3 linked regions of the Drosophila melanogaster genome follow. The protein of the gene in region 3 interacts with the protein of the main gene of each other region in a pairwise test. Each region holds a gene or a part of one and is shown on either strand. Other genes may lie near its edges. The genes, in order: icln, Sbat and Gem3.

Region 1 (3,151 bases), on a different chromosome or scaffold from region 3:
GCCAAGGGTAAGAATTTAGACGTGCACTACTTGCCGGCCAAAATAGACGGCGATGGGGAAGCGAATGTAAAAAATTACTTCAACAACTACACACGTGAAGCAACCGAATTCGGCACAGGAATCCTGACGAACGCCTTGCGCGGATTTCCTTTAATGGGAGAGAAGTTGAAAGTGCCCGAAGGATACTGCGGATTAGTTCTGCAAGAAACAGAGAAGCCCATCAGCGATACCTCCGACCGAAAGTTGCGGCTAACTGGAGTATTTCAAGATTTTACTTACTGGAACTACGACAAAGTGCCGTCCAATGGCGATCCCTACCGACAGGCCCTTCCTCTGCCGGATGTTGCTCAAGCTGTATGTATATACCACTATATATTCTCGAAGTACACCTAATAAATACCACATTTTATTTATTTAGCTCTCGCAGCCCATTAGCGAAGAGGATTTAGAGAAAGAAATCGCTCGTAATAAGGAAAACGTCAAGGAAAGCACGTAGTTTTGTTTTAATCGCGCTTACCGCGTTCTATTTATTACTCCAAAATCTAATCCAATACATATATATCGTACATTTTATCTGGTATAAAACGTGGTATTGATGTTTAAATAGGTTATGCTTCACTCATCAGCGTCCTCGAATCGCTCTTCGTCGTCGTCCAAACTGAGATTCTGCACGCCGTTGCGCCCAAGCGTCAATGCATCATCCTCCTCCATAGCCTCATCCTCTAAGCCACCGGCATCCTGCATAGGATCGCTGTCTTCCGAATCACTGTTTGCCGAATCAGGATGTAGGGCCTGGCAAGTCGTCATGGCACTGTACATAGTGTCTACGGTGTGAATGTCCTCCGGCATAAGCCAGCACTCTGTGACCTCTCCAAATTGCTCGTCTACGGCATCCTCGAAATTGTCGTCCTCATCGTGCTCATCGCTGCCATTTCCCTCGTCCACTTCCGCTTCCGAACCACCGCCATTCCGACCATTGACTGCCTGCTGGGGAGGATCTCCGTAGACGCCGTTCCACTCGACTTTGTGGTCCAGCATGAAGTAGATGCACTTTCTCGGATTCGAAGAGATACCGTGCAGGCTAACCTGCTTCCACTCAATGGATATACCCTCCGCCAATTCAGTTGGCTGCCAGGATAGCGTGCTAGGAACAAGAAATAACAGTTACTTTAAAAGATTTTAATAAATAGAGAGCAATACCAGACACCGGCAAAGCTCTAAAGCGCTCACTTTTGGGCAATGTAAACTGTGCCTTCGCCCACCACTTTGTCGCCTAGTTTCAGCTTGATATTGTTTGCCGTATACAACAGACCATGTTCCGGCGGGGAAACACGCATAATAAGAACCATTTTAATACAGCTTGTTAAATTAATTGTAAAAAGCGCGATCAAACAACAAAACTTGCAAAAATGCAGTGTTGAGTACCATTTTTTCGTCCCCCTTTTGAAAGTCTGGCAAGGGTGGCAATAACTAGGAGAGACAGCTGGACTCTGGCAACGCTCTGATGTATTTTCCTTCTTTGAATGTAGAATCATCAGAACAGGTGTTCTCGGAGGACAACTTCTTTCTTACCACTGTTGAATTTAGAAATAGATATATAAAGAATGGAACAATTTTGTCAAAAAAAGATAAAAACGTAGTACGTAATTGTGCTACCAGATCAGCGCGTACGATTTTCTCCCAAAGAGGTCTTAATTTGGCGCTCTAGCCGCGGTCACACTGGTTAGGTAGCGTCTCGTTCAATTTTCAATTTTAGCTGTTAAAATTTGCGATAAATGTGATAAATGCGAAGTTATATGCTCGCGCATCAAACCTTCGACAATAATACACTCCTCAAAACGAACCCATTACGGACAGAAGTGAAAGAAGTAGCCTTCGGGTTAACGAAACGAACTTGTCATTGTCCTTCCAAGTTGTTGTTATTTTCCTTATCCGTTGGCAGTCGTTATTATTGTTGTTGTTGTCGTTGTTCGTGGATATATACAGTGTTTACTCGATAGTCCCGACGGATAAACCACACAGATTGCATGGAAGCAACGATGGATACGGACCATGCGAACCTAAATGACTTCAGGGATCGCGATCTGGCCACGCGCATGCGCCGCTGCAATTACGAAAAATACAAATCCTTGGTGCGCATGCACCTATCGTTTGAATTGGAGCTCAATACGGATGAGTAAGATGGATCACCTTGGTATATGGCTGCTCACCACATTACTAACGATTCCCTTATATATGTAGATTCGATCTCCCCTGTCACGAGATTGTCTACGAGGACAAGGGCAAGCTGAAGAAGTGGAACCGCCTGTCTAAAAAACATCGTTTGGGACATGGAGCAGCTGCCACATCCTGTGCCGCCGGCTCCGCCAGTAAATCCGTGGGTAATAGTCCCACAGAGACACTGCAACAGCAGATTGATCCGGGATTCTTAATGCATCTGCAAGAGCTCAAGGAGTTCCTAATGCTGGAGAAGAGTAAGTTCGCTGAAGATCTCAAATTACGTTCATTAACTGATCCACTGTTTCAGATCTCACCCAGGAAGGCCTATTCCGCAAGGCTGGTGCGGTGTCCCGACAAAACGAACTTCGGATGCACATCCAGCACGACAAACCACTGAATTTGGAACTTGCGGGCTTCTCCGCTCACGATTGCGCGACCGTTTTCAAAGGTTTTCTATCCGAACTTCCAGAACCGCTGCTTACGGATGCCCACTATCCGGCGCATCTGCAGATAGCCCCACTCTGCCAGGCGCTCAATGGTCAGACGACTGCCACTGCTGAGCGTCAACAACATCTTCTCAACTCCGTGCAGCTGCTACTTCTCCTCCTGCCCGAAGAACATCGTGAACTTCTTCAGCACATCATTGAGATGCTGCATGCTGTGGCCAAGCATGAGAAAAGCAACAAGATGAGCGCCGATAACTTGGCCACTCTCTTCACACCGCACCTAATTTGCCCAAGGCAACTGCCACCCGAGGTCCTGCACTACCAGGCCAAGAAAATGTCCAGCATCGTGACCTATATGATCGTCCGTGGACTGGACATCTTCGAGGTGCCTGGAAAGCTGTCTACCGACATCCGGGCGTACTTTCTCGAGCGCAAAAGAAAGAAAACCATGTCGCCGGAACAAACGCTTGACGAGTCCATCTCGG
Region 2 (2,954 bases), on a different chromosome or scaffold from region 3:
TGCGCTCCAATCGCTCCAGCTGGCCCATAATGTCCAGGGCAGTGGTGCCCCAATAGATGCCCGACATGCGCAGAAACTCGGTCATGCAGTACTCGTAGTCGTCCTCCTGCTTCCCATGGTTCTCGATGTACTCCACATGCTTCCAGAACTGCAGCTTCTGGCCGCCGCCATCCGCATCACCACCACCGCCGCTGTCGCCACCGCCATTTGAGGGCTTTACGAAGGTCGTGAAGTCCATCGCTGATTGGGCTCAATTGAATGAGTATCGGGTGGCTGGCAGATCCTCTTCGGCGCGCTGTTTCGCTTGATTAACTCTATTAATTGGCAGGAATAGTGCTGCGAGCAAACAAATAACTCAGTGAATCCAATCGAGCACAGCTGATTCATCTGCGCGATGGTTGGCAACGCGGCAGTGGCTTATCAAACAGCTGATCGACGCAGGGGCGTAGTGTGGAGGGGTTTACTATAACCCCATCCAAAAATAAAAATTAAACGTACTTAAATTTCAAATAGCTAGTTTATTTTATTCAAAACACATGCACACTATTGCACCAGCAGGCTGGACTGCGGATCCGGCTCGTCGATGCTTAGGGAGACTATGTGCTGGCCGGGAACCATGACGTTGCCCAGCAGGCGCGGCTCCTGGCCCTCCACCAAGTACTCGGCGCACATGGACAGCACGATGTTGGCGTCGCGGTCCGTGCAGTTGAAGAATCCCACCAGCACGCGTCCGTCCGTAATCACGATCCGAAGAACTCGACCCAGCCACTTCTGGAGCTTCCTGCGTCCCGGCGTCAAACTGGCATCGTTCATCTGGTGCGGGGCGTTCGTTGTGATGCGGAAGGGCTCCGGTGGTGTGCATGCGGGCGGGGGCATCACCTGCTGGCCAGTGATGCTCAGTTCTGTCATGGTTATATCCTCTTTGCTCAATTTAAACAAATAAATGCAAGAAATTCTCAGCTTTTTTTGTGTTTACACTGCGCGTATGTGTGATATAGTGTGCGTGTGTATGAGTAATGGCCAGGGATGCAAGCACGTGTAAGTGGTTCGGTTCACTGGTTCACTTTTTGAGCTCATAAATTCGAAAATATACGAAACACTCGTTTGCTTGTGTCAAAGAAAATACTTTAGATTTAAAACACTTAAAGGAAATGATTGCAAAATGAATGCACACAATGAGCCTTCTTTTTAACATCTTCATACGAAAACTAGTTCTTTTTATATTTGCATCCCTGGTCGAGCTGAGCTTATAAAGGTAACGGGCACCCTAGCCCAGTCAGCTGATTTGCATTTTGCGGCAAATTTTGTTTCGCATTTATCCAAAAAGCTCGTAATTCGTCTCTTGATTTTTTCAAATATCCACCATGTCCGGAAAGGCTTTAAACATTGGCGATCAGTTCCCAAACTTCACGGCTGAGACCAGCGAGGGTCGAATCGATTTCTACGACTGGATGCAGGACAGCTGGGCCATTCTGTTCTCCCATCCGGCGGATTTTACGCCGGTTTGCACCACGGAATTGTCCCGGGTGGCGGCATTGATTCCGGAATTCCAAAAGCGTGGAGTCAAGCCAATTGCACTGTCCTGCGACACCGTGGAGTCGCACAAGGGTTGGATCGAGGACATCAAGAGCTTTGGCAGTGGGTTTGGTCACTGATTTCTGGACAGGAATCGCTTCTAATTGGCGTTTCTGTTCGCAGAGCTGAGCTCCTTTGACTATCCCATCATTGCGGACGACAAAAGGGAACTGGCGCTCAAGTTTAATATGCTGGACAAGGACGAGATCAATGCCGAGGGCATTCCCCTCACCTGTCGCGCCGTTTTCGTGGTGGACGACAAGAAGAAGCTTCGCCTGTCCATCCTGTATCCTGCCACCACTGGGCGCAACTTTGAGTGGGTATTCCAATATCTAGCATTCATCATTATCTATAAAGTAATGCTGTAATGCACTTTAGCAAACAATCGTGCACTTAATCGCATTAGCAGATAATTATTTAATGAAGTATTATTGCTGAAAACTAAGTACTAACCTTGCATATAATAATGGAAGTTAAATAGGAACGATTTCAAGGTCAATTAATCCGACAAATTACATTTAACTATATCCTTTGCAGTGAAATCCTTCGAGTGATCGACTCGCTCCAGTTGACCCAAACAAAGAGTGTCGCGACGCCGGCGGATTGGAAACAGGGCGGCAAGTGCATGGTCTTGCCCACCGTCAAAGCCGAAGATGTTCCTAAGCTCTTTCCTGATGGTATCGAAACCATTGAGCTGCCCTCCGGAAAGAGTTACCTGCGGATCACTCCACAGCCCTAATGGATGACAAGCGTGCGCTCTCACTTTTTTTTTGCTTTATTACAAAAATTATAATTAACAACAAATAATGCACAATAAAGTATACGCTTACAACCGTATTTTCAGTAGATCGGCGCTTTCAGGTGGCTAAAACTCGCCTTCTGCTGGACAAAATTGCCAAAACATTCGACTTACGAACTAAATCAGATGGGGAATGTGACAAAAAGGTCGCGATTTGTGTGTACGAAATAAATATACATTCAATATACATATATAGACGTGTACAAAAGGGGGTAGAGATATTGCAACTGGATAACCATGGGGGTAAGTAAGGTATAAATAAGGCCAACTCTGTACAATAACTGAAGCGCTTTCTAGGATAGAAGAAAGCTAAAGACCAAGCTCGTGCCCGTAACCGAAGATAACTGAAAGGAAAATGTTTACATTGGATTAATTTTGGTGGCACAAACAGTATAAAGTTATTTGTAATAGTGACCATTCATTTAAACTAATAATTGGAAACACATGTTACTGATAATTAGTTTAAACAGTGGATGCTTGAGCACTTTCCCTTGCCCAAATACTCACAAGATATATTCCACAATCTGAGTTCGCATAGAGATCGTTACCTTGAATATGTTAATGAAATGCAAATATGTAC
Region 3 (6,449 bases):
GTTAACATCATTATAAGACTTTAACACCTGCACCAGCTGGCCGAGCATTTTTCGCATCTCGCATTTATCGCTAATCGAATTGAGTTTGCTGCCACTGCGGCAGCGACAAAATGCAACGCTATCCATGTCTCTAGGATCTATAAAATGTTGTCGCTTCCAGCTCGCTTTGAATTTGCGTTTTCTCACGCTCCTTATTGGACTTGCAACGCAGGGGGGGGAGGGGTGTTGCACTCCAAAAGAGGGGCACTTGGGGCACTGCAGATCGACGACCAATGAGCAGTACCATCCAGATGCCGGCTTTTTGCGTGCTCGACCGCAGGGCGAATGTTTTGACTATGCCACCGACGCGGCATGCCGCCTGTGGACCGTCTCATTCGCTTAACCCATTGCGAAGCACTCGCAAATGGGGACACAAAACTCGTAAAAGGAAACTTAAAAATTTTAACTGCATTTAATCAATTTAAAAATAAATTATTTATGAATCGAAGTATTTTAAAAATTAAATACAGCAGTGGAGTATAAAAAGAAAATAGTAGAACTCATTTATTTGCTGACAAACATGGCATTCGTTGCACAAATAATTCACAAAATGCATTAAATAAATAAATAAAACATAAATATATGTCATATTTTTGTACAATCCATTCTGATTTTCGAGTGGCTTTCAAAATCGAGTGAACGACTTTTGACAACAGCTAATTAATGGGTTAACACCTCTGCAGTCAGTTGCAAAGTGAGCGGCGCCCGTGCAACAATGTTGTCTGCCACACAGCTGATGCCCGTTGCCCGATGGTCGATGGTCGATGCCGATCCCGATCCCACTGACTATATGATTTATGTCCCGGCAGTCGGTTGGCGCCGCTTCTTTACCTTCATCCATCCGGCTTGCCGAAACCAAGAAAAATGTTTGTTTTCCCATCTCTTAGATAAATCATTGCGAGTGATTAAAGGGATTTAACTTTCACATTGTGGATTAATTTGTTTGATGCGATTATGTAGCGAATAAACATGAAAAACAATCAATTTTGAAATCAAAGAAGTTGAGCAATGAACTTATTGTTTAATAAATTCAAAATAGTTAGTTTCCTGCTTTAATTCATTTATTTTTTTGGTAACAAATTCTGCAATTTATTGCTTGCATAAAAAAACATTCATGGTATCCAACATGCTATCAACTATTTCGACATTGAGTATTCTAATTAAGAAAACGGTTTAACTGGCTACGATATACAATTGTAAGGAAAGAGACTGATACAGCCTCTCTTGGAACTGATCCGTTTTGTTTCCGAATGAAGTGATTAGTTGAGTTTAATTTTAATGCCTGAGTTTTCACTAGTTTTTCATTCATAACCACTTAGTAATAGTTCTGTAGATTCTTGGCCACATGGGATGCAATGAATTGGTACTGCATGTTGAAAGTCTGCAACCACAATGATTGAGCGTTCTGCATTGAACTGACATTGGTTACAGTTACAGAATCATCATCCGAAGATTCATAGGTGCTGCTCGCTACTGAAGATCGCTGTGAGCTTGATCCTGTCGCGCTGACATTGCTTCCAGCTTCCGAATCTGTTAAGGATTCAGTATCTGATTCATCATCCGAAATAAAGAATGCACTTGAATTATTTCCAGATGCGCCCGTAGATTCCGTTTCGTAAACGGAAGTGTCTATTCCAGACGAAACACTCTCCTGACTCTCTACAAAACCACTCGATGAATTTGGCCCGCCATCGCTGCCATCGTCCTCATCGTCCACAATGATCTCTTCGCCTTCGCCGTATTCCTGCGAGTCCTCCGTATCCGATTCACTTCCTGAACCAATTTCAACAGCGGCCTGTGGCATTGGTGGTATGTCCATCTGATTCGTCACATGAACACTTAACTTGTTCTTTAGATCCTTCTCCTCCTCCTCCTCCTCCTCTGATTCCGAAGACTCTTGGCTCTCGTAGTTATCAATGGATTTTAGGGACTCCTTCATAGCTTCCTTAAAATGCTTCTTCCTCTCCTTAGCACTGTTATAGTACATTTCCAGGATGGATTTATAGAGCTTATCCAGCAAAAAGCCAACCCTCGCATTGTCAATGAATTGATTCTTTGCATATTTGTGGAGCCGTTTCAAAAATCTCTCTTGATTTGTAAATTTTTGAAGCAGATGACACAAATTCATGTGTGGCAAAAGTGATATATTTTTGTATACATGACGTTTTCGCAAATGGTGTGCTTTTTTGGATCTGCATGACGAGCTCATCCGTTTTTTAAGCTTGCGTTTAACATTCGCCTTTAGTTTAGGAAATACTTTCTTGTATAGTATCACACGCCGTTTTCCATGGCCTCTCTTGCTCTTCAGCTGACGCCTTTGTTTCGACATTAATCTATTCCAGATCTCCTCCTCATCACTGGTTGCATAGTATGTGTCGTAGGACCTATCGCTATGATAGCCACATACCACCATGCTATCCGAACTGATGCTACTGGCATCGTCCACCGTGTTCGATATTACCATGTTCTGTATGGTCATCGAACTGGTTTGCGTTGGAGCAGCTAGGCAATAGGTTTTGTTGTTAATCGAGTTGGCTGGCGGTGCAGGTGGTGTCACTGTGGTTGGAGACGGCTCCTGGGTCAGTTCCAATGGTGTTAGGGTTGGTGTCAATTCGGGAGATATAAACTCCACCGGTTTTTGATTAGATTTTGACGGAACCTGGTGGTTTCCCGCTCCATTAACAGGATGATACTCTTTGCCGTCTGCTGTTCGTTGTATGTCTTCTTGCATATAGTATTTATTTACGGTGATCTCTGGTGTTTGCTGCACTTCAGTTATTTGTTTCTGTAACTTTGATGGAGTGTTAGATTTTTTCCTTCTCTCCGTCTTGTTCGTTTTAGAACCTCCAGCTTTGGAATTAGTTTCTTTAAGCTTTCCTTGCCTTACAATTTCTTTCTCTTTGACCCTAAGATTCTTATTATTATGTGAACTTTCTGGTAAGTTTTCGAGCTCCAACTCTTTTTGGGTTTCAACATTTTCTAAGGCCACTGGTAGTTTGTCTGGATCTCTCCTTTTGCCATCCTGATCCTTTTGAAGATTTTCCAAGTCAACTGAAGAAGCATCAACATTTTCTTTACTTCTATTTTCTTTAATAGGCATAGGCATTTCCTGTAGCGGATTCTCTTCCTTAATGTAATAATCAAAGTTGTACTTTTCGAAATCCCAAAAATTGAATTCATTGGGCATTGGCTCCTTGGGAAACTCCAGAACCGACCAAGCCGTAGCGATTTTTTTTGACATTTCCCTAAATCTCTGGCTCTCCTTCTTGGAGGCAATAAACGTGATGGCTATGCCTTTGGAGCCAAACCGACCAGCTCGTCCAATGCGGTGCAAATAGGTGACATGATCCTGTGGTGGATCAATGTTGATAACCAGGTTGGCATGCGGGGAGTCCACTCCGCGTGCCATCAAATCAGTGGCCACCAGGATGCGCATAGTAAAGTTTCTATAGCCCTCGAAAACATGCAAACGCTCCGATTGTTCCATGGCTCCCGAAATTAAATGACAATCGATACCACTGGCTGTAAGATAGTTCTTGTAAGAATCCGCTCGCATTTGTGAGCTAGCAAAGATGATGGCCTGTTCGTAAGGCAGCTGATTAAAGATCTGGCCAAGAATCTGCAGTTTAAGACGCATCTCCTCCACACTGTTATTCTGCTGTGGCAATTCGTAGACAAACTGCCGAATGCCCAGTAGAACGGTAGCCCTTTCGGAATTCGATATAAGCATGGGTTTGTCCATGACCTTGGCCAGACGCTCATCCAAATTCTGATCGTATGTGGCACTGCAGGCAATTATTTGCCGATTCTTGGGCATTGCCTCAATGAGTTTACTGACCGTATGCTGCAGGCTCTTTGTCTGATAAAGTTGATCGGCCTCGTCGAGCACCAGCAGTCGCAGTTTGGACACATCGAATACTCTATTCTCATACAGATGCAGCAAACGTCCCGGTGTACCGATAATGACTCGACTTTCATTCATTCGCTTGCGATCCTTGGCCACATCGGTGCCACCGATGAAAGCAGAGCATTTAAAGTCCCGAAACGATTTGCAGAGATGGAAAAATGTGTCCTGCACCTGAATGGCCAGCTCTCGAGTTGGGACCACGATCATGGCATGCGGTTGGTTTATGTTGGGATTAAAGCTCTGAACGACGGCTATAACATAGATTAGAGTTTTGCCAGTTCCACTCTTCGATTGTATTATTAGATCTGCAGATTAATATAGCAACTATTATTGATAATCTTCTGTTGCATGCAAGATATTTACCCATTTTGGCCAGTGCCATGGGTATGGCAGCTGCCTGAATCTTCGTTGGCGTCACGAAATTGTTGCGCTTCAATCCGTTCAACAGATTTCGGTATAGACGCAGTTCCTCGAAGGTCTTAACCTGTCCAGGTGCCACATCGCTACTTCGTTCCTCGCCGCCAGCTAAACTGTGCGCTATTTCGCGCTCCATTTCGCGTAAATTTCCACTTTTTGGACAAAATTTTGAAACGATTCGGTTGCCTTGCTACAATTTACACTTTTTTATTGCCGGCCAAAAAATCCATCATACGCGAATAATTATATACTAAAATATACTACAAACGAATTATCCGTGAATATTAAACCTATTTACACAGAACAAAACCTACAGTAACGAAATGTCATTTGTATTCAGAGAAATGTTTACATTTTTCATAATTTCACACAGAAATAAGGTATAATTGTTAGAATTAAATATTATTTTCTGTATTTAAATCTTATGTCGAAATATTAGCGAAGGCTCACACCAAGGTTGCTATCTGTGCTAACTATTTACCAAGCACTCCAACCAATTGAACTAAAAATAAAAAATTAATTCCTTTTGAAATCTTAACAATATATTGTTTTACAATAAAAAAATATGTACATCGTACCGTTGATTGTTTTAATATGAAATTTATATTTCCAATAGGTTGGAATAAGGCAAGATTGTCAAGCACTTAAATGCAGGGGTTTTAGCACAGCTAATAGTTGCTCTCAAACTGTACCAGCTGGCGGGAATTTCAAATAATTTATGTCGCTAAAATAAGTTGATGCAGTTAAGTAGTTTCAGCACGCTGCCTTTCAATTTAATAAATTAATTTATAACAAACAACGATAAAATCTTTTATTATTTACCTAATTGTTTAATTACGTAATTTTAATTACGTATAATTTAAAATAAAAATCAAAAAATGTTTATAATATAACGTTTTTTAAGCAATCAGACTGGGAATGTCAGAGCACATTGAGGTCACACAAAATTAGATACAAAATTTAAAAAACGACTTAAAATTTTTTCATTTTGAACTCCAAATTCGAGAACCATGTTCATACCCAAAATACGAGACATTGGTTACTTTGCGCTGCTGACATCCCTGCACTTGGGCTCAAATCTTCAGCCGGTCATCGAGGCGAATGCCAATCTAAAAACGGTCTATCCCTCCGTGAATCGTAATCTAACGCTTCAATTGGGCTATAAATACAATCACTGGATGCTGGTTAAGGCCATAATGTATTCACTACTATCTATGATCGGAGTTTGGTACTCACGACACTTGCAAAGTGGCAAAAGTGAGGTATCGATGGAAAAGAAAGGAATCCTTAAAACTACGACAACAGCTGCAGAGCAAGTGAAAAACAATTGGATCAAAAAACAGAATTCCGCATTGAAAAACGGAACCCTGCCGCGGAATATATTCCTGTTATTTGCTTTGCCCTGGATATTGACCTTTGTGGCCAGCGGATTGATCAACTATATTCGATTTTACATGGTCATACAGCATTTTTGCATATCTAACTGGAGGGCGATTCAGCTTTATGGAGAACTGCAAGGCCTCTTTTGGCATCGTTCTACATCCGTGACTTTAATACCCTATTGGTCGCAAATTATCGGCGGAGGAGTATCCTTGGAGAAGGCATCTCATCTTTCTGGAAATTGTATTTCCATTGAAACACATCTTTTGGACTGAACATGGCAATCTATATTTAAAATTTTTATTTTATGTTTGATGCAAAAATTATAATAATGGAAAATAAATCGATTTTGTTGACTTAGCTCTAAAGTTTTAAAGTGATTTTGATTTGATCAGTAAACTTAAATTATTGTAGCATTAATTGAGCATTGGAATTCGTTATTGGTTTATTGTTAGTTTTAATTTCTCAACAACATTTGTATTGTTGATTTCTTCTGGTGTTTTGCCTGCGACAATAAGCGACATTTTCAATCAACAAAAGAGAAAACTTTTCTATGAACTTTATGCACCGCTTGGCATTTTATTGTTGGAAAAAACTTTTCCACCACGTGGGAAATATGCGGCAATCACTTTTTCTTGCTCACTTTTATTCAGTGGAGAAAACTCACGGTGAATAAATGTGAAAGGAGTACATAAATACACAAGTG

What was found.
Region 1: the proteins of Gem3 (region 3) and icln interact in a two-hybrid assay, tested with the Drosophila melanogaster proteins (one study listed by BioGRID).
Region 2: the proteins of Gem3 (region 3) and Sbat interact in a two-hybrid assay, tested with the Drosophila melanogaster proteins (one study listed by BioGRID).

Annotation. Positions count from the first base shown.
Region 1 is NT_033778.4:17,589,231-17,592,381, reverse strand, and holds icln (icln), read right to left. Parts: upstream 1,419-3,151; 5' UTR 1,350-1,418; coding exon 1,231-1,349; intron 1,145-1,230; coding exon 616-1,144; 3' UTR 501-615; downstream 1-500. Other genes in the region: CG30105 (uncharacterized protein), read left to right, coding at 1-354, 419-496; RhoGAP54D (Rho GTPase activating protein at 54D), read left to right, coding at 2,028-2,176, 2,242-2,474, 2,528-3,151. UniProt on the Drosophila melanogaster protein: Involved in both the assembly of spliceosomal snRNPs and the methylation of Sm proteins.
Region 2 is NT_033779.5:2,876,548-2,879,501, reverse strand, and holds Sbat (sabbat), read right to left. Parts: upstream 1,159-2,954; 5' UTR 910-1,158; coding exon 544-909; 3' UTR 501-543; downstream 1-500. Other genes in the region: RabGGTb (Rab geranylgeranyltransferase subunit beta), read right to left, coding at 1-238; Prx6a (peroxiredoxin 6a), read left to right, coding at 1,365-1,638, 1,699-1,891, 2,113-2,314. UniProt on the Drosophila melanogaster protein: Auxiliary component of the N-terminal acetyltransferase C (NatC) complex which catalyzes acetylation of N-terminal methionine residues. May have an accessory function in the survival motor neuron (SMN) complex.
Region 3 is NT_037436.4:10,458,528-10,464,976, forward strand, and holds Gem3 (gemin 3), read right to left. Parts: upstream 4,575-6,449; 5' UTR 4,500-4,574; coding exon 4,310-4,499; intron 4,252-4,309; coding exon 1,355-4,251; 3' UTR 554-1,354; downstream 1-553. Other genes in the region: CG32061 (uncharacterized protein), read left to right, coding at 5,374-6,018.